Linked DNA regions of Alligator mississippiensis. The protein of the gene in region 1 binds, or shares a complex with, the protein of each later gene. Links are inferred from orthologs where the notes say so. Each region holds a gene or a part of one and is shown in the gene's direction. Other genes may lie near its edges.

Region 1 (10,574 bases):
CTCGGCACCTCGGGGACCCCCCGGGGGGGCGGGATGGATCTCCTGCGGGTTCTGGGGGGTCCTTGGATGCTGCTGGGTGCCCGAGGCGCTTGGGGGAGGGGTCCTCTGGGGCTGGGGGGCGGGATTTCTGGGTCCTGGAGGGGATCTCGAGGCTGCCCCCCCCAACCCCCCAAAGCAGCCAGGCACCTACAGGCCAAGGTGCCTGGCTGCACTCAGGGAGGGGACCCAGGAGTCCGGCTGCCCCCCCCCCAACTCCAGCTTCCGTAGCCCTGGGGCTCAGTTGCACCCCCCCCCCCGGGCCCTGTGAGGGCAGAGCCCCCCCCGCGGCCCAGCTGCGGGGGCGGGGAAGGGAACCCAGGAGTCCCGGCACCCACGTGAGGGACCCGGGGGCTCTGAAGGCTGGGTCCGTCCGCCCCCCCGTGTGACCGTCCCCAGCACCAGCTCTGACCCGCCAGGAGGGGTCTGTGCCGGGGGGTCTCCGGAGACCTCTGCCTTGTGAAACCCAGGTGTCCTGGCCCCGCCCGGGCGGCTCCCACCGCACCGAGCGAGCCCCAGCAGGTGGAGCGGGGTTTGTATTTAAATGAGCTCCAGTGTGTAGATTACCCCGGGGATGATTTACATGCGGGGGGGGCAGCGCTGCGGGGCCCGATCCTGCCCTGGAGGGATGAAGGACCCGATCCGGGCTGGCTCTGCCCTTGAGGCCCTCCCCTCCGTCCACAGGGGGTCTGGAGAGGATGATGCAGCAGGAAGGGGGGCTGGGCAGCCCCGGGACCCCCCGGCTGGAAATAGGTGGGAGAGGGAAGAGTCTGCCTTGACCTACCTCCTGCCGGCCCCGCCCTTCCCGGACACACCCCATCTGGCCCCGCCCCGCCACACCCCAGCTGGCCCCGCCCCTCCCCAGCAGTCACTCAGCCAATCAGCTGCTGCCATCCCAAACTCCACTCTGACCCCCCACAGTGCCCCCCAGGGGCCACGCCTCCCGAACCCCCCTTTGGTCACACTCTACCACCCCACTGCCCCCAGCCCTCGGGCACTGCACCCCCCCTCCCTCCAGGGCCGGGGGGTTCAATGGGCGGAGGGCTGGCGCTGCCCTGCATCTCCCCGGGCTGTGCCCCCCAGGACCCCCCAAACCCGGTCCCCCCGTGCCCCCCGGGTGGGCACCCACCTGCGGGACCGGTGCGGGTGGGTGCGGGGCCGGTGCCCGCGCGCGGCTCCAGCCTCTGCAGCAGCCGCGTCCGCCCGCTCCTCCCCCCGCGCCGCCTCCTGCCGCAGCCCGGCACCGCGCCAGCCCCGCAGCCGGGCCAGGGGGCGCCCCGCGGCTCCCCCCACCCGGCGGGGCCTGCACGGGGGCCCTCGGGCTGGACTGCGGGGGCAGAGGCGGGCAGGCGCTTGCCTCCAGAGCCCGGTGGGCCCGTGACGTCACTGCCAGTGGAAGGAGCTGGGCTGTGACATCACTGCCAGGGCAGAGGGGTTGTGCTGTGACATCACTGCGGAGGAGAGGGGCTCTGCGGTGACATCATCGCCAGGGCACAGGGGCCATGCTGTGACATCTCTGAGGGGGAGGGGGTCTGCTATGACATCTTTGCTAGCGTAGAAGCATAGTGCTGTGACATCACGGTGGGAGGAGGGGGTATGCTATGACATCACTGCCAGGGTACTGGGGTCGTGCTGTGCCCACTCTAGGGGGAAGAGGGTATGCTATGACATCACTTGCAGGGTAGAGGGGTCACACTCTGACATCACTGCTGCTGGGTTGGGGGGGGATAAACTGTGACGTCACTGAGACGGAGGGGCTGCGCTGTGACCACGGACAGCCGCGGGGAAAAGAGCTGCGCCCCACTCGCTCCTCCCGTCTTCTGCTCCTCCCTCTCCAGCCTGACTCCTCCCCTAAGGGGCGGGGCTTCCTGCCCCTCAGTGGCTGGGGGGCAGTTACCGCGGGACAGCTCCTCGTGTGTCCGTTCCGTGACCCCTCCCCCTAGCGCTCGGTCTTCCCCCAGCTGGGGCAGCCCCAATGCGGGGGGGGGGCGCTCCTCCCGCGCACCGAGCTCCGGGCCCGGGTCAGGTCCGAGATCCCCTGGGCCGCCCTCCCCAGAGCCGGCTGCATCTCGGAGCCCGTGGCAGCCCCCAGGGCCCGGGCGGGGGTGGGAGCGGGGCTTCCCCCGCCGGCATCCTGCCAGGCCCGGCGGCGCCGCTAGCCCCGGACAGATGCCACGGCCGGAGCCGAGGCCGGCTGGCGGGCGCCGGGGCCGAGGGCGGCAGCGGAGCGGGAGTGAGGGGCAGCGGCCAGGCTGGGGGGTCCTTGCCCCCGCTGACTCACCGCCACAGCAGGGCCGGGAGGCGGCGCCGCTCCGGCCCCCGCACCCGGGATCCCCCCGCCCCGCCCGGTCCAGCCGTCCCTGCCTCCTTCTCCATGGCAACCGCGCTCTGCATCACCCGGGCGGCGGCGGGACATGCCCCCCCCCGCGTGCCCCCCAGCCCCGGAGCCACGGGGGCTGACAGGGCAAGGTAAGGTGCGGATTGGAGCAGCGCTGCCGAGGCTCCGCCCACCCGGCCTCCCGGTTACGGGGGAGGAGTCAGGGATTCAGGGGCGGGGCGAAGTGCTCGGGGGCGGGGCCAGGGCCTGGGGCGCAGGGGCGGAGCCGGCTCATACAAGGGGGGCAATGCGGGGGGCAGGATCCCCCCGAGGGTTGGCGGGGGCTGAGGACAGACCAGCTCAGTGCATGGGGGCAGGGCGGTCCCATGCCCCCTCCAGGCCCCGGGATTGGGGGTGGGTCTGTGCGGGGGGCGAGAAGGCCGCGTGGCCTTGCCCGGGCCCCACGGGTGTGGCCGTGAAAGCGGGCTGGGAGGGGCCGAGGGGCACCCTCTCGGCTGCCACAGATCCTCCGAGGACACCAGCCCACCATGCCCTGCGCGGGGGGAGGTGCCGATGCTTTCTTTGCGCTCCCCTCCCGGCGTCTATGGTTCTCCGAGGAGCGGGGGGGGGGGTTTGCTGTGCGTTTGTGCATGTGTATGCACGTGTGCGTGTGTGAATGTGTAAATGTGTGCACGTGTGTGCGTACCCGGGCCGGCGTCACGTGTGCGTGCGTGTGCCGAGCCTTGTCCGCGCTTCTCGCTCTAAATGTGACTCACCCCCGCCCCCCCATTACCAGGGAGCCCCGGGGCAAGCTGTGCACCCGGGGGGCGAGGGGGGACAGAAGCCCCCACTCCGCTACCCCCCTAGGGTGCCCGCGGGGGAGCGGGAGCTGCCCCTGCCGGTGCCACCGCGGGGGCCGTGCGTTGCGGGTTGGTCCTGGAGCAGCTCCGGCGCTACCACGGGGTGGGGGGGCAGTCCCTGGGAGCCCCAACCCCCAGCCCCCCTCCCCCCGGCTGCGCCCCCCCCCCCGCGGCTGCCATGTGCAGGGCCGCGTGGGCGCGTGTCTCCCCGCTCCGAGCTGCAAATAGACCCGGGAGCCGAGCGGAGCGGAGCGCCGGCGGGTCCCAGTGGGGCTCCTGTTTACTGCGCCGCGGCCCCCGGGGAGCCTGTGACTCACGTAGGAGGGGGAGGGCTACGTGCGGGGTCCATGCCCCGCGGTGCGCCTCAGTCCCGAACCTCAGCCTCTCCCCCCCCACCCTTAGTCCGTCCAGGTCCAAGGGATTTCAACCCGGGGGGGGGGAACCACAGCAAACCGGGGTGGGGACCACAGCCGCGTGCGCATGTTTCTGTGTCCTAGACCCTCTACTGCCCCCTGCCAAGGGGATTCTCCCTCCTGGACAAGGCCTCCAGCAGCTTTCTCCTGGAGCCTACCGCTTATGCAGCTGGCAGGGAGCTGGGAGGTCTCAGCGCCTGGGGGAGCAATGCCACCCCCCACCCAGGGGCTCTTTGTGCGGGTGATGCTGTGTCTTGGGGTCTCCCAGGACCTTGGTGCAGGCGGTTCTCAGCTTCTGGGGCAGCCGGGCCCGGCACATGTTATGTTTATGGCGCTGTTCCCATGGATTCTAGCATGGCCTGCAGTCCGTTAAGCCACAAAATGGTGAACCAGCCACGAGGACGTTCCCTAGTGAATGTGGAGCATCTTTGTGGCTGGTTCACATTGTGCCTTACATCAGACCTGCCCCTCCCACCCTGTGAAACCCCCCGGGAGGGGGCACGTGGAAGCCCTGGGGTCCCAGTTCAGCCCCAGTTGGTGCATGATTGGCACCAGTGATGTGCCAGGCCTGCCCCTGGGCCAAGATTTAGCTGGCCCTGGGGTGCAGCTGTTACCCCTCGCCAGGCTTCCTGGTGGTTTGGGATAAGACCTGGGAGAGGGAGGGGCAGGCTAGCACCTGGCCCCTGTACTGCCCTGCGGATGGGAGCAGACGTGCCTGGCACTGCCCCCCCCACCCTGGCCTTGGCCCAGATTGTCCCCGGGGAGGAGCTGCCCTGCCCAGTTCCTCCTGCCAACGCTGGGGGCAAAGGGAGGGGACATCGATCGCGGCCTGGTGTGGGGCCCACGGCCTCCACCTCCCCCAACCCAGGGTTCCTGCCTCAGTTTTCCCCTGCACCCAGTGCCAGGGCCCTCCCCAGTGTCAGTGCCAGCCCTGCCTCAGTTTTCCCAGGATGCCAGCTCGGCCCTGCAAGCCCCTGAGGGGCAGAGCCAGGCCGGGATCACTGCCCACGAGGCATTGCAGGTGGGGTGACGGGGGTCCTCTCAGCTGCTCTCAGCGCCCCCACTCAGGGCTCTGGGGCGGGGCCAGCCGCCCTAGCCCCGCCCCCAGGGCGGTCCCGCCCGGACCGGCACTTTAAATCGGGGTGTCGGCGGCTGGGACCCAGACGTGCGGGGAGCCGGGCTGAGCTGCCCCACCCCGTCCCGTCCCGTCCCGTCCCGTCGCGTCGGTCCTCCCGGGGGCTCCGTGCGCCGGATCCGGCCGGGGAAGGTACCGGCCCAGGGGTCCCAAGAGAGGCGCCCGGCGCTGGACGCGGGGTCGATGCAGCTGAGTCTGGGGGAGACCCCGGGTGCAAGGGGTGGCTGGGGGCATCACTGGCGCAGGGAGGACCTGGATCCCGCGTGAGGGGGCGGAGGGGGGGGTGTCCTATGGGGGCCCCCAGCCCCTGAGAGGAGCTCAAGCTGAGAGGGTTGCTGCTGGGGGGGCAGCCCACCCCATGCAGACAGCAGGTGAGACCGCCCCCCCCCACCCCGGGGCAGCACGGCACTAGCTGGAACCGGTGGTCACAGGTAAACTGAGGCACGGGGGGGGGGGCTCCGTGACTTTCCCGGGCCCTGGCTGCCCTCCCGGGGGGGGGCGGGGCTTCCCCGTCCCTGGGCCTGTCTGTGGGGACCGAAATGGGGGCGCGCCCCCGCAAGAGCTGCCCGGGGAGGGGGGGCAGCGGGGTGGGAGGGGGTGGAGGGTTACAGACGAGAGGGGGAAGCTGGCATGGGACCCAGGCGTCCGGGCTCCCTGCCCTCTGACCCCCTGCCCCGAGCTGCTGTGGGGGGCTCTGGGCTGCACCCCGCTCCATGGGGGGGGCAGGGTTTGCCCCGGGGGGGGACGGCGGGGGGCTGACACCTGCCGGGCCCCAGGCGCCCCCCCGCACCCGGCCCGGGCGCTGTGGCAACGGGTGACGTCACTGCCGGGCCAGGCCTCGCTCCTTGCTCCCTGGAGGGCTGGGCGGGGGGGGGGGGGGGAACGACGCGTGTGGGGGGGGAATCCCCGTCCTCAGCAGCGATGGGGGGGTAGGGGCGCTTCATTTCCTGTCCCAAAGCAGGTCCTGGCCCCAGTGCCGCGTCCCGCAGCAGGTAAAGCCTCCCCCGGGCCCACGGGGGGTTGGGGGTCCCAGGGCAGGTCCTCCAGACCCCTGACCACCCCCCCCCGACTTCTCCCAGGCTGCCATGGAGGGGGCCCCTGCGCCCCGCCGGCCCCCGCGCCCCTGAGCCCCCCGGCATGTGGCTGGCCGTGGCCTTGGCCTTGCTGTGGGCCGCCCTCATGGAGGTGAGACCCCCCCCCAACCCCGCCGGCCCTGCTCCCTCCACTGCCCCCCCTGACTTGCCCCCCCCACCCCAGGCCGGCGGGGTGGAGCGGTCGGCGGCGGACACGGTGGTGGCGTGGCGAGAGTATCGGCAGGAGTGCGAGCGACGCCTGCGGGACCAGCCCCCGGCCCTGGGTGAGTCCCCGTGGGCAGGAAGAGACCCCTCCCTAACCGTCCCCCCCCATCCCCCAATCCCGCCTTAGCCTTGGCTCGGGTCTGGGCGGCGGAGCCTCGTCTGCACTAGGGGCGGCTCTCCCGGGAGAAGCCGCAGCAGGGGCAGGACGGGGGCTTTGTCCCTGCTACCCCTGGGGAAAGGCCATTGTGCGACACACGTGTGGGTGCAAGGGCCTGTGTGAGCGAGCACCAGGTCATGCACACGTGGGCATGGGGCTGTGGACACACCAGTCTCACTGCATGCCTGGGAGCTCTTTGCAACTACACTTCGCACACACGCGTGTGCCCTGCTCAAGCACTGGCCCCTGCATATGGGGGTGCATGACCCTGTGACATGGGCCAGCGAGTCACTCACACGAGTGCATGCAAGGTGCGTCCGAGGCAAGGCTGCGGGGACCTGTGGCACCCCGGTCCCATCTCACACATGCCGGCTCTTTGCCGTATACGAACACGCTTTGCACACGTGTGTGCGGCCTGCTGGTTCACCCACGCTCCCTGCCTGTGGCAGGTCTAGCCTGCAGGCCCCTCTCTCACACGTGGGCATGCAGGTAGTGCAGCCGCCAAGGCCTGTGCAAGGCTGTCATGGGCCAGCTCACACAAGTGTGCTCCCCTGCCCCGCAGGGCTCGTGTGCAACCGCACGTTTGATATGTACGCCTGCTGGGACGACGCCACGCCCAACACCACGGCCCGGGTGCCCTGCCCCTGGTACCTGCCCTGGCACCACCACGGTAGGGTCGCAAACGCTAGTGCCATGCGGGCCCCTTACATGCTCCCCGGGGTGCCAGGGGCCCCGGCCGGTTCCGTGCCACCCCACGCATGCCGTGGAGCCCAAGACACGCGTGTGCCCTGTTCTCCGCAGTGCGGGACGGATCCGTGCTGCGCCGCTGCGGCCCCGACGGGCGCTGGGTCGCGGAGCCGGGGGGGCCGCCCTGGCACGACAACGCGCAGTGCGAAGCCCCCGCCCCCGAGCTGCCCCTGCAGGTCAGTGCCGGACGCCTCGGTCCGCCCTGGGCGCCGGGAGCTCGGATGCGTAGGTGTCCTCCCGGCGCGGGGCGCGGGGTGCAGGGTCGGGCCCCCTCTATTTCGTGGGGCAGGGCCCCAGGGTGTGGGCGGGGGGTCCCGTTCTGGCCACCCTGACCCCCCTCCGCCCCCCAGCACCAGGCCTGGCTGCTGGAGCGCGGGCGCCTCGTCTACACCGCGGGCTACTCGCTGTCTCTGGCCGCGCTGCTCCTGGCGCTGCTGCCGCTGCTCGCCTGCAGGTGGGGGCCCCGATTCTGTCCCCCCAGGGGCCCCGATCCTGCCCTGGAGACACGGGCGGCGGGATGCTGGGGGCCGGGGTTGATTCGGCCTCTGAGGGCCCCGGACTTGGCTGCGGTGGAGGGGGCTGGGGTCCAAGAGCGGCCCCGATCCTGGCTGGGATGGGGAGGTCGATTCAGCAAATCCTAGGGGCCCAGATCCCGGCTGAGAGGAGGGGCTCGATTCGGGCTGCGGGTTGGGGGGCGGGTCCGAGCGGGCCCCGATCGTGGCTCTCGGAGGGTGGGGTCCGAGCGGGACCCTGATCCCGGCCCCCGGCCCCGCAGGCGGCTCCGCTGCACCCGCAACCGCATCCACGCGCAGCTCTTCGGCTCCTTCGTGCTCCGCGCCGCTGCCGTCCTGGCCCGCGACGAGCTGCTGCGGCGCCTCCTCGCGCGCCCCCCGCGGCCCCCGGGCGCCCCCCCCGCGCTGCCGGGCCAGGTGCAGTCGGGCGGGGGGGGGCCGCGGTGATCTTCCCTTGACAGTGCCCTGGGGGGTCCCGGCTGCCCCCACAGCCCGGTAACCCCCGCCCGCGCAGGCCGTGGCCAGCTGCCGCCTGGCGCAGGTGCTGACCCAGTACGGGGTGGGCGCCAACCACTGCTGGCTGCTGGCCGAGGGGCTGCACCTCCACGCGCTGCTGGCGCTGCGGGGCACCGAGGACGGCCGCCTGCCCGCCTACCTGCTGCTGGGCTGGGGTGAGTGCCCGCGGCGGGCGGCGCGTCTACACCAGGGCCGCCCGCGCCGGCCCAGCCCCGCACTCACCGCCGCCCCCGCAGGGACCCCGGTGCTGTTCGTGGGCCCCTGGGCCGTGGTGCGGTACCTCTACGAGAACACGCAGTGAGTTGGGGGCGGGGGGGGGGACGGGACGAGCCCGGCGGTCGGGGCCGGGTCGTGCCCCCCGTGCCTGGGGCGGGACCTGGGGGGCAGTGACGCCGGGTCTGCGGGGCAGGTGCTGGGAGCGGATCGACAACCGCGCGCACTGGTGGATCGTGCGCTGCCCCCTCCTGCTGGCCGTGCTGGTGAGCCGGGGGAGGATAGGGGGGCGAGGGGAGGTCGGGGAAAGCTCCCCTGCCTGGCGGGGCAAGTTGGGCCGGGTCTGACTGGGCCAATAATGGGGAGGGGGTAACTGGGACCAGCGGGGGGGGACGGGCCTGTCCGGGCGGGGCGGGGCGGGGCGGGGCGGGCCCGGCTGCCCCCCAGCCCCCCCCGCCCCCCCAGGTGAACTTCGTGCTGTTCGTGCGCATCCTGCGGGTGCTCGGGGCCAAGCTGCGGGCGCCGCACGGGCGCTGCCCCGACTACAAGCTGCGGTGGGTCCCGGGCCGGGGGGGCCGGGCCGTGCCGTGCCGTGCCGGGCCGTGCCGCGCCCCGGCTGACCCCCCGCGCCCCCCCAGGCTGGCCCGCTCGACGCTGACGCTGGTGCCGCTGCTCGGCAGCCACGAGCTGCTGTTCGCGCTCCTGCCCGAGGCGCCGCGCGGGGCCCTGCGCTTCGCGCGCCTCTTCCTGCACCTCTTCCTCAGCTCCTTCCAGGTGGGCGGGGCCGCCGGGGCGGGGCCAGCGGCCCGGGTGGGGGCTGGAGCTGGGCGGGCGGGGCCAGTGCCCCAGGTGGGCGGGGCACTCCGGCGCCGTGACCCCGCCCCGCTGTCCCCGCAGGGGCTGCTCGTCAGCGTCCTCTACTGCTTCCTCAACAAGGAGGTGGGTGCGCGGGGGTTAACCCCTCAGCTGCGGGGGGGCCGGGGGCTGCCCCCCGCTCACGGCCCGTCGCCCCCAGGTGCAGGCCGAGCTGCGGCGGCAGTGGCAGCGGTGCCAGCTGGGCCGGAGCCTGCAGCGGGCGCGGGGCCGGGGCCGGGGCTGCAGGCACGGGCCAGGCTGCGGCTGCGGCCGCGGCCCCGGGACCCCGGCCCGGCTGCGGCCCGCGGGGGGCCAGGAGGAGCCGGCGCCCGGCGCCGGGGGCCCGCCCGGGGCCGAGCTCTCCGAGAGCACCTGCTAGCGCTGGCCGGGCCCCTGCTCCCTGCCCCGGGGCGGCTCCGTGCCTCCTCGGCCAGGCCCGCCTGGGGGGCGCCGTGTGGGCCCGGACTCCCCGTCGTTGCTTGCATTCATTAAACCCTCCGTTGAACTCTGCCCGTGTCCGTGTGCTGGCGGCGCAGCGCTGTCTACGCTAGGGCAGCCTGGGCGCATGGGGCTGCCGCGCCTCGGGGGAGGCTGGCACGATGCCCCCCTTCCCCACGGGTCTGCCTCTCCCAGCTCTGGGACCGCAGTGGGGGTACCAGTAGTGGTGGGATGGATCTAGGATCCCCCCCCCCCAACACGATTGTGTCTGGACACCCCCGTTGCTGGGACTGCAACTCCCAGGATGCCCCGCGCTGGCCAGAGGGGGCGTGGCTGAGCTGCGCAGGCGCGGGGGGCCGGGAGGCGGAGCTGCGGTTGCTGCGGGGGGAGGGCGGCAGCGCCTGGCACCTGCCCGGGGTAAGCGCGGGGGGAAGGGTTAAGGGTGCAGGGGCGGGGGGTCCTGGGGCCCTGCCACCCCACTGCTGCCTGTGTAGGGGGGTCACACGGACCCCAGCAGGTGCCCGCGGGGGCTGGCAGGGTCCATGCCCGCGAGGCCAAGTGTTGCCTCGACGAGGGGGGCAGAGCCGGACGCCCGGGTTCCGCCCGCCGCTCCAGGGGCCACAGCTCCGGCTGCTCCGTGCCTCAGTTTCCCCAAGTGCCCCCAGGCCCGTCTCCTTCGGCTGGGGGGGCAGGGAGTGGGGGGCGTGGCTTGGATCCCGGGAAGGGGCGGAGCAGGGCTCGGGGGTCTGCCCCCAGGCCAATGGCAGGGGCTGGAGCAGGGCTGTGCGCCCATTGGTTGCGGGGCGGGAAGCTACTTTGCACAACGGCTGGGGTGTAGGCTGTAGCCGTGTTGGTCTAAGGACACAGGCAGACAAGGTTCTTTGGGCGAATCTGATATCTTTTATTAGAACCACCTAAATAGTTGGAAAGCTCCCCACGTCCTGTGCCCGCAAGAAACATGGCTGCCAGGCACCTACCCTTCCTTGTAGCTCCCCATCCATGTGCCCGCAGCAAACATGCCTGCTCTGACTTCAGGCACCTACCCTTCCTATAGCTTCCTTGTTTTCTGTGCCCATA
Region 2 (10,047 bases), on another chromosome or scaffold:
CCAAAAAAGCTGCTGTCTGTACCCAGAGAATAAAACCATTCCTATGAACAAACCAAGCTATCCCATGCTTCTGTGTCTTGCTGATTGCCACATGGGGCCAGGAAAAATATTTTTTCCTCTCCTGCTTTTACGTGTCAGGGTTTTTTGTTTGTTTTTTTCTGCCTTTCTCAGAAGCACTGGGTATTGGTTGCAGCCAGGGTTGGGGATTTTAACAGGGGGATAGCAATGCTGCTGCTGAGACTTAAACAGAGGTTCCTGACTAGAAGATCCTGCACCTCTATTCAGGGTCAGACTGATCGCTATATTTGGGGTCAGGAAGGAATTTTATCTTCTGATCATATTGGTATGGACAGTGAAGGTTTTTGCCTTTCTTTGTAGCAGGGGCATGACCCTCTTCCTTGTGTCTCTCAAGAGTACTTTAGCAACCATCCCAGCAGCAGGACATTGGCCACCATTGTTCCCTTTCTTTACCTATGACAGTTTAAGGTATTTTGTTTTGTGGCTGTTAGGGTTTGACTGTAGTTTTGCTACTAGATTAGACAATGGATTTGTATGGGATAGATTGGATAGGTAGGGGATTGCACTACATCAGGGGTGGACAATTAATTTGGCCAGAGGGCCACTTAGGGAATTTGGGTGAGCTGTCACGGGCTAAGTCAGGACCCCCTCCCCTGGCAACAGCTCACCAAAACTCCTTAAGTGTCCCTCCAGCCACTTAAGGAAAGGTTAGGGGAATCTAACCTTTGTTCCCCCTTTCTCCTTGCAGCCCCACCCCGAGTCCCCAGCACACAGTCAGGCCAGTGCTGCAGTGTGTTCCCATGTACCACCTTGGACCACACAGGTACAACTGGCATGGCTCCTGCCCAATCTGGCTGTGTGCCAAGGATTCAGGGTAGGGGAAAGAGGACAGGGAGAAGGGAGGAAACAGAGAGCAGCACTGGCCCAGCTGGGCCCAGATTACCCATGGCTCCCAGCCCCTTTCTCTATGCACCCTGTCCCAAGTCTCCAGCAGGCAGCCGGGTCGGGCAGGAGCTGTGCCAGCTACACCCATGTGGTCCAAGGTGGTGCGTGGGAATACTGTGCAGCACTGGCCTGGCCCAGCCATGTGCCGGGGACTTGGGGGGCAGGAGGGGAGGAGAGAGGGGGTGCAGGAAGAAGGGAGCTGTAGGTTATCCAGACCTGGCCAAGCCAGTGCTGCACTGTTCCCCCCTTCTTCCTGCACCCCTTCCCCGAGTCCCTGGCATGCAGCCAGGTTGGTGACATACTGTGTTCCTGTGTGCCACTTTAGGCCATGTGAGTGCAACTGGCACAGCTCCTGCCCAACCCAGCTGCATGTCAGAGACTCAGGGTCGAGTAGAGGCTGTGCCAGCCACTCCAGCTGTGTCCACATGGTGCAGCCTGAAGTGGTGCATGGGAACACAGCGTGGCACCAGTGCCCATGCCCCTACCAGGTCCCAGCCTGGCAGAACCCAGATAATCCATGGCTTCTGGCCCTTTTCCCCCTGTACTCCCTCTCCTACCAGCAGGGAGAATCTTACCTGAGCTTTAACTTGCTGGGCGTAGGGTCCAAGCAGTGAGCAGACATCCCCACCGGGCAGAAACCTGGCCAGGAGCTCAGCACCCCTTGCCTTGGAGCTTACACTGGGGCTTGGGGGGCAGGACAGGCAGCTGGGGAGGGGAGGGGAGGGGAGGGGAGTGGTTGTTGTTGTTGCTGCTGCTGCTGGCTGACATGGGGAAGGGAGAAGGGTGAGAGGCACATAAAGCCAGGGCAGCTATGTGTGAACTACAATTCTCCTTCAGAGGAGCAGCTGTGGGCTGTGTAAAATCAGCCCACGGGCCATATTTTGCCCACCCATGGATTAAATGACCTCTAGAGGTTCCTTCCAGCCCTACTTTTCTATGATTCTATCACTGGTAATTGGGCAGTTTCACCAGTGTAATTGCTTCCGCTAACACAGCTGTGCTGATCCAGGATCACACAACTTTGCACCCTTCCCTGACAGAGCCCTGTCAGTATGTATTAGCAATGTAGACACAGCCTAGCAGGATGTGCTGCTATAGCCACAACAACAATCCCTTTCAAGTCGAGGCAGGGCCTGACTTTCTCTTATGGCAGCCAAGACAATCTCAAGAAAATGTGACCAGTGTGGTATTTTAAAATAAAAATATGTATTTCCATACCTGGGACTTCTGTCATCCAGGGAGATGATATAACTGCCTATAGCTACAACAAGGATCTCTAGTATTTTAACTGGCACAGTAAAAGCAGCAACAGTCTCATCACATAGGCAACCTACTTTGCAGAGGCCCCAAACAATCATCCAACTGCTTAGTAACAAACATTTAAATGTCAAGACAGGTACCTATTTCCTCCCTTAGGTCTGATCTACACAGCCTTTCATACAGTAATGATGTTGATGAGGGGTGTGAGTTTATATTGGTGCAGTTAAACTGGTACAGCCCCTAGTATGAACACAGACTAATGTAAATAATATCGCTTATCCCAGTATAGCTTACTCCTTTCCTGCACAGTGTAACTGCATCCACATAAGAGCTTGTAGGTAACCTAGAGGCTGCTTTAAGTTACGGAGCTCTTGTATAACTTGTCCTACTGGCCAAGAATATCTGCAGCACAAAACACTCCAGCTACACCTCTGTCTCTCCCTGAGGCCAGAGAGGCTCTTCTCAATATACAGGGCAGCACAGGGAGGCAGATTAGGGCATCCTGTGGCATCTCTGTGCTGGGTGAGGAACTTTTTAATGCTAGTGTAAAGGAGAGAGAGAACCAGACAACCTGAAATAATTCTTTCTGAGGGAAAAAAACATTTCTGATACAGCTCTGTCTTCCCAGAGCTAAAACTTGCCCAGGCTCTCCCTGTCTCATATTTGGATTGCAACAATATCCTTTTCTCTGGTCATTTTGAATGCAGTCCTGCACTGCTTGGATCCATTTAGAACATGGCTGTGGGGAACATTCTCTGAGCCTGTGCCTTTGACCAGGTCACCCCTCTCGTTGTGCCCTGTCGCTGGCTCTCCCCTGTCTATCACATCAAACACAAGCCATGTATCCTTACTTCCGTGGCCCTTCACAGCCTACCCTTACTCTTCCCCATTCAATGCTGAGAGGGTAAGTTCTGGCTCTATTAGATCCGTGACACAAGCCTCCATCCTTGTCAAATTTTCAACCACCTGCCTTCATGCTTTCTTCCACATTGCCCCTTTTGCTTCCCATAAACAGCTGCACAGTCACTCCATTGTTTTCTTTCATATCCCTCCTTAAAACTCTGCTGTGATGCAATACAAAAAAAATGTGACTCTGTCTAGGCTGCCAGTGTGTGGGTGGTGCCTACCTGTCATTTTGATAGGGATCATCTCTTTAAACTTTTCTGTCTCCTGCCTTAGATTGTAAGCTCTTTGGGACAGGGACTAGTTTTTTACCCAGAGTTTGCACAGCATTTTGTAAGGGGGATTCTGAGACTCCTTCCAGATATTACATTTGTTGCAAGTTAAGAAAGAGTGTCCTGCAACTTTTTGGTAACATGCCACATATTCAGACAAGTTATCCTGCAATAAAAATGGCAAATCAGCAACAAAGATGTTCCACATTCAATGAGTATTTTTAATGCACAGTTTTATGTGGAACATCTTTGTTTGTGGTTTGTATCTCAGTTTAATTTGAATGCAAGACATGTTAAAGTTCTGCAATGCAGCCTGATGCTGGGTGCATGGTGGAGTTTAATCTTGTTGGTACAGGGGAAGGCCAAGATAGTTCCCCCTGCTCAGAGATATTTAAAACTATGCTGTGCAGACTAATGTTGGGCTGTACTGTGGAGCATGAATGCTGTGTGCCCCCAGAGGCTGGGGGGGAATAGTGACTGCCCACAGGCAGCGGTGGCAGTGTCAGTAGCGGGGGCGTGTTGGCAGTGAGTGGGGAGCTCTCATAAGCAGCCATGGTGGTGTTGGCAGTGGGGTGGTAGGGGGAAGGGGGCAGTGGTGAGCACTGACCATGGTCAGTGACCACCTGCAGATGCCATTGGCAGCAGTGGCAGCCAGTGGCAACCAGGGACCGCCCACAGATGCTACCGGTGCTGTTGTTGGTGGGGGGGAGGTGGTGAGTGGCGACCTTCTGCAGGCGCCACTGGCAGCATCAGCAGCACTTTTTGCAGGGGGTGCACTGCCAAGTTCAGGAAGTGCACATGCAACCCCTACATGTCGCCAATGATGTGGAGCTTTAAAGGTCCCCATGCAGGGGAGTCGATTGGTTCTTCATACACAGGGGCATCCTCGATTCCCCAGCTGTCCACAGCCTGGTGTGCATAAAGCTGTCAGCATGCATGCTGGTGCCTTCCTAGCTCCACCCTTCCTAGATACCTGTGGTGCCAAGCTGTCATGGGCATTCATGATGCCAGCTGCATGCAAGTTGTGGATCAATGAGCTCCCCAATCCACAGCCTACTTGCCACAGGTTGTACATGTGCCATTTCAAGATGCAAGGTGTAGGCAGCTCTGTGTCAATGAGCTCCCAAATTCACAGCCACCCATGCTGCAGACCTTCAAACGGCTATAGCTTCTGGGACTTGGGGAACTTCCCAATCCACAGCTATCTGTACCTTGGCACATGTGCAGGCAGCTGCAAATGTACTGTGGATTAAGGATCTCCCATTAAAGGCACCACAAACTTTTACCAGCTCACATGCAATGGCCTGCACCTGTTGGGCACGGGCAACTGGGTATCCAGGAGGTCTCCAATCCCCAGCTCCCTCTACTCGGGTGTAAGGGTGCAGCCAGCTGCATGCTCTGACAGACATGTGATTACAGAGTCAAACAATCATTCATTCTGCCATGGATATGATATTTTTGGGGAGTTAAAATTTTTCAGATCCTAATTATGGTATTTAATTAACATTTGGAGGGGGCCGTAGGCACTCACAATTGGCTTTAGTGAAATGACTCCTACTTTACCCCAGTGGAAAAGAGAGGAGAATCAGACTCACTCTCTGTAGAATCATCACCAGCTACCATTTGCATTTGCCTCAGTTTCTCAGTCCTGGCAGGTGAAAGGTGGTACCATGCAGAATTTAAGATCACATAGTTTATGCCATGCATATTATAGCCCTAATGTGAGTTAATTCTTAACATTGTGATATTACAGTGCTTAATTGCCATTAATGTAAACACCCGTTAAAAGGTTATTTTCCTGCTCAGTAGGTCAGTGGACCTAATGGAGCTGATCTAAGTGGCTTTGATTTACTCTGATTAGGTGACTAATTTCCTGCTTATTTCATGGAAATAGGGTTGGTCCATTGCACCTGTGGAATATAAAGAGTCTGAAGAGCCTTGATTTGACACCAGGATCTACGGAAATCAGAGGGTCAGCAAGGTAAGAAGTACAATTCCAATCTCCCTCTTTCTCGCTTGTTCTCTTTTTTTCTTTGAAATGCTTCCCTAAATTAATAGTGTGGAGGCAGGGAAGGTAGTGTGAGTACTGCAGGTGGAAGGAGTTGTAAAAAGGAGGTTGTACCCATGGTTAACTCTTGATATGGGTGAAGAGGTATGAGCACGTTGCTTGTCACAGCAGAAGCAATGCTAAAATTGCTCTGACTGAACTAGAAAAATTCAGTTAGGTCCTTACAATTCTGAAAAGGGAACATACCATTGATTCAGGCTAGGAGCTGTCACTCAAGAAATCTGGGGTTGGATTCTACACCTTCAAGCAGTTCAGCACAGAAGAGACAGTCAAAGGGACTGGTGGGGAAGGAGGGGACGGTGAAGCCTGGGAGACTATCATCTTGTGTGTCCTCCCAGTTTTTAACTGTTTAGGGGGCCAAAACATGCTCATGTGTAATGAGGCAGCCTGGGAGGAGGGGTGTGTAAATTATGAGTCTCCCCAGTGCTGCCTATAGTTTGTGGTAACAGCTAGAATGCATCATGGCCTTACCTCTTCCAATGATAAGTTTCTTCCCTTAGTGTACCTCCAGAAGGCTTGCAACTGAGGGCAATTATGGAGGGCCAGTGTTGTGGGGGAATTCTCTGTCATTCCTTTATATGCTATTTATGGCTTCTGTATGTCACCAGAGCAGTCCTATGTGACTTTGGCCATGGCATTTAAGGGCTATATTATACCTTATGCTATGAGCCACACAAATATTGATCAATTTAGTGCTAGCTTGGAGTTTGAAGCAGTCACACCTTTGGTCTAGAAACCTTCTCTGATTGTCCCCCACCTGCACAGCTGTGACTTGCCACTGGAGGCCTGGTGACCAGGGGCAGGAGTAGGAGCTGTAGGAGTTCTGGGGATGGAAAGTTTGTCCACAAAACAGGAGGGTGGGGGACAGACCACTGCATCCTGAGATACTGGAGAACTTCAACTTGAATGGCACATCAGTGTGGAGTAGCCACATGTTAATGGAACAGGAGCTGGGTTGTGCAGATCAGAGCTAATCTTGCCCTGGAGTGGCATAACTTTGAGCTGCATAACAAGTGGTTTAAGCCACTTTAAGGTGTCAATGTGCATATAAGGGCTAAGAACTCAGAAGCTGCCCAAAATGACGATGTAACAGGTCCAAATTGCTCTACCAGAGAGAGTTGAGAAGGAAGGTGTTCACTAAGTCACACAGGTCAATGGGTCTGGTCTAAATGGCACATAGTCCACTGGTCCTCCTTGGAGGGCCACCACCTACCCATATGGGAAGGCTTAGCTATAGGAATACAGCTGGGAAGATAGTCTGGCAAATGGTATGCTGGATGGGGATGGTGGAGTCCTGTTCATGCCCTGTGCAATGTATGGTAGCATTGGAAGCTTTCAGATTCAGAGCCTGAGATCCTCCAGTGACTTAAGACCCAAGATGGAAAGGACCAATCTTGCCATATTGTTAAAATAATTATGTTAACATCAATGCTTATTTTCATAATGCCTCTTAAGCTTAGAACTTTTTCTCCTTTTTTGAGTAAATTCAGCATCATCTAAGAATACTTTAACATGTTCCCCCCCCCCATCAATTCTAAAATTCTATTTCTATTTTCTCTAGACAAAAGATTCCTTTCAGGTACACAAATTTTCTTCCACCAATTTAACTATTTTCAAATCCATTATCATCCCAATATGTGCAATCAAATTGTATGAAAGAGGGAATAGTCACTGTTACTTAAACTCTCTCTTTTTTTCTCTCTCTCTCTAATTCAAAAAGCTTTAAGAGTTTACTGCCATTTGCTTCTGTAGCTAGCACATCCTTATGTGCCTTACTGTTTTGGATGCAAACTTTTTAGGGTGGTTGTCCATCTTCAGTGAGCACAACACCTTTGATTTAAACGCTGCTAAGTTGATGGTGATAAATGCAGAGGTCTTACATCAAATGTATTTCTTACTAAAAGGACTGCAAGAAATATTTTTAAATGTCCTGATTTCCTAGAAGTGAACACTGTGTGAATTACAAAAACATCTAAAAAGCATCTTTGATTTCCACAATTTTTGTAAACCACAGTGAAGCCTCTAGTCTTGTGAAAATATAAGAATAGTAAGTCATTATACTTATGGAGTAAAGATATGCCCATGCATAAATGATTGCAGGACTGAGCAACTAAATCCTGACATACCTGTTCCATCCTGATATTTATTTTGTCTTTCTTACTACTGTGGCTGTTAATATTAAAACTCAACATTGCAAATATTCTAAAAATATTTAAAAAGAGAGTGAAATATTGGACAACCAAATCTATTTTGGAATGTGTTTGGTTGTCTGTATAGTGAATAAGCAAGAATGTTCTTGAAAAGTGTTTGCAGAGCTGAGTGAGTCATTCAAAGGGGTCCAGTGTGCGAGGGGTAGTGAATTCGAATAGGGACAAGGTCACATGACCTAAAAAGCAATCTAAGGTGAAAACATCTTGGGGAAGGATCCAGAGCTGGATACCATTAATGGAATAATCTGCTGGAGGCTCAGTAATGAAGTTTCTCCACTAACTTCAGTGAAGTTTGGCTCATGTCCTTATTTAAGGTCTGATCACACTCAATAAAAACATTCCATTGACTTAAACAGAAATCAGGTCAGGTTCTTAATCCCTACAGAAGTGTTATGTGGATATCGAGATACAGGACCAGTCCAACCATTAGGCGAATTAGGTGGTCACCTAGGGTGCCAAAATTTGGAGGGTGCCAAATTTATATGCAGAACAAAATAACAGGAGCATCATTTTAAATAACAGACCTGGCTGGTTACGGCTGCACCTTGGACTAAGACCTTTGGTTTAGTAAGGGGAGAAGGACTTCTGAAAAGATCTCTGAAGAAAGATCACTAGAATCATCCACCATCACAACTACAGCTCCCGGTGACCTTCATACAGCTACATCAAGGGATTGGACATGGCTTTAAGTGCACCTCACAGCTCTCTCATATTCCCCTCATGACTCCTACCTTTTCAGTGCTCAAGTGGTCTTATGACAAGAGCATACTGCTGGCAACATCATCCTAAAAGACATATTGGAAGTGGTGGGGAAGCTGAGGTACACAGTTTGCCTAAGGTACCAATTACCCTTGGGCTGGCCTGGTCAAGATACCATTATAAGTGCCTGATCTGGAGTTATTGAAGGCAACAGAAATACTCCCACTGTTTCACTGAGACATGGATCAGTCCCTAAAGTGTTGAAGGTGTACAGACAGGGATGGATTAAGATTCGTTGGAGCCCTGGGCCCCCCAACCCTCACCCTGCCCCTCCAGCTGAACTGGGGTGAGGAGCTGCTCCCCGCCAGGCACATGTAGCACAGACTGAGCTCCAGGGGTGGCCCCTCGCACTTCAGTAGCTCAGTCTGGCTGAAGTGGCACCCAGCAAACAGCACCTGGTAGCCATGGCCTGCCGCCCTTTGTGGTCACTGGTTTCATCTGCACCAAGCATGGGACCCTGGGCCTGGGCCTGTTTGGCTCATGCATTAATCTGCCTATGTGTACAGAACCCTTTTGCTAATCTGCAGAAAGTCTGTGCCTCCAGGGATTTGCACTCTCCAGTGAGTAAGATGGTCATCTTGTGAGTGAAAGAAGTACAAAATGTATTACTGTCAGCCCTAGGGAGGGAATCAGCATTACAAGCAAAAATCCTGGAAGCAAAGGTGGTAGGGATCACACCATACCTCAAAAGGGGAAAAGCCATTCTAAGCAGGGACATGGCTACTTGTGTGACAGTCACATAAGTACATGTGTACAAGCCCACTTCACCTTTTGGCCCACTATTCCTGTTATGCTACTTCCTTCCTGCTGTGCATGAAAAGAATTAGCCTTCTGTGTTGCTTTCTGTCTTTGATTAGAGAAAACAAGTCAGGAAAATGCTGGCCTTGAAAGTTCTCCCCCTCCTCCTTGCCTCTCTGAGCCTTGTTCTGACAGCGGAGAACCGCACCAGGTAAGTGTTTTCAGTACACTGTTCCAGCTCCTCCCTGAGATCAAGGAGAGTTTCATTGACTTCTCTGGGCATATCACTTCCACGTCAGATTCATAGTCTTCCAATGCACCTGAGATAAGTGTGTCAATGAGAGCTTGTAAATATCAGCTGTAAGGAGGAATGCCAGACTAGAGATGGTAGCCAAGTATCGAGACCTCACTACAAATCTCATTGCACTGGTCTGGGGGATATGAGCTGCAAGTGAACCAGGAAGAGAACGGAGGCTGGTCAGGAACAAAATGGAGATTTCCTTCCTCTGGCTGAGAAGCTAATAGGAATTCAACAATCTGACACTTTGAAACTATAGAGCAGTTACATAAAGTGGGCGAGTATAATGTATGTAGCTCCTGACCTCTTTAAGATTGTGATACTGCCTCCTCTCGTCCAGTATGTATGAATCCCATATAAGTTAGTAAGAGTTACTGTATCCTGGTGAGATGGAAGGAAAGAAGGACTAGGGCAGCCACTAAGCACCTTGTGCCTATCAGGTTATTGAACTGGATCATGAAATATCTCTAATGACAGTGACCAAATTGGGCAGCCACCTCAAATCACAAGCAAGAGCCTTTGAAACATTCTCTCTCTTGTCTGTCCATGGCTAACTCCATCTCCCTTCTTTTTCCC

What was found.
Region 2: the proteins of GIPR (region 1) and pro-glucagon are in contact, whole or in part, in a cryo-EM structure (PDB 7RA3), measured with the Homo sapiens proteins. The link is inferred for Alligator mississippiensis from reciprocal best matches to the Homo sapiens genes GIPR and GIP. Residues at the interface, in NP_000155.1 of Homo sapiens: Gln30, Thr31, Ala32, Leu35, Tyr36, Trp39, Tyr68, Trp71, Leu88, Trp90, Arg101, Arg113, His115, Asn120, Gln130, Arg131, Leu134, Glu135, Leu137, Gln138, Tyr141, Tyr145, Arg183, Ile187, Arg190, Asp191, Pro197, Gly198, Pro199, Tyr200; in NP_004114.1 of Homo sapiens: Tyr52, Ala53, Glu54, Gly55, Thr56, Phe57, Ile58, Ser59, Asp60, Tyr61, Ser62, Ile63, Ala64, Met65, Asp66, Lys67, Ile68, His69, Gln70, Gln71, Phe73, Val74, Trp76, Leu77, Leu78, Lys81.

What each region holds. Positions count from the first base shown.
Region 1 is NC_081838.1:391,775-402,348, forward strand, and holds GIPR (gastric inhibitory polypeptide receptor), read left to right. Parts: upstream 1-5,668; 5' UTR 5,669-5,753; intron 5,754-5,840; 5' UTR 5,841-5,898; coding exon 5,899-5,946; intron 5,947-6,018; coding exon 6,019-6,118; intron 6,119-6,778; coding exon 6,779-6,886; intron 6,887-7,017; coding exon 7,018-7,139; intron 7,140-7,313; coding exon 7,314-7,417; intron 7,418-7,738; coding exon 7,739-7,892; intron 7,893-7,989; coding exon 7,990-8,288; intron 8,289-8,400; coding exon 8,401-8,470; intron 8,471-8,669; coding exon 8,670-8,758; intron 8,759-8,842; coding exon 8,843-8,978; intron 8,979-9,101; coding exon 9,102-9,143; intron 9,144-9,219; coding exon 9,220-9,438; coding exon of another isoform or gene 9,439-9,551; 3' UTR 9,552-9,569; downstream 9,570-10,574. UniProt on the Homo sapiens protein: This is a receptor for GIP. The activity of this receptor is mediated by G proteins which activate adenylyl cyclase.
Region 2 is NC_081827.1:168,494,728-168,504,774, reverse strand, and holds the start of pro-glucagon, read left to right. Parts: upstream 1-5,290; 5' UTR 5,291-5,379; intron 5,380-9,292; 5' UTR 9,293-9,310; coding exon 9,311-9,384; intron 9,385-10,047. UniProt on the Homo sapiens protein: Potent stimulator of insulin secretion and relatively poor inhibitor of gastric acid secretion.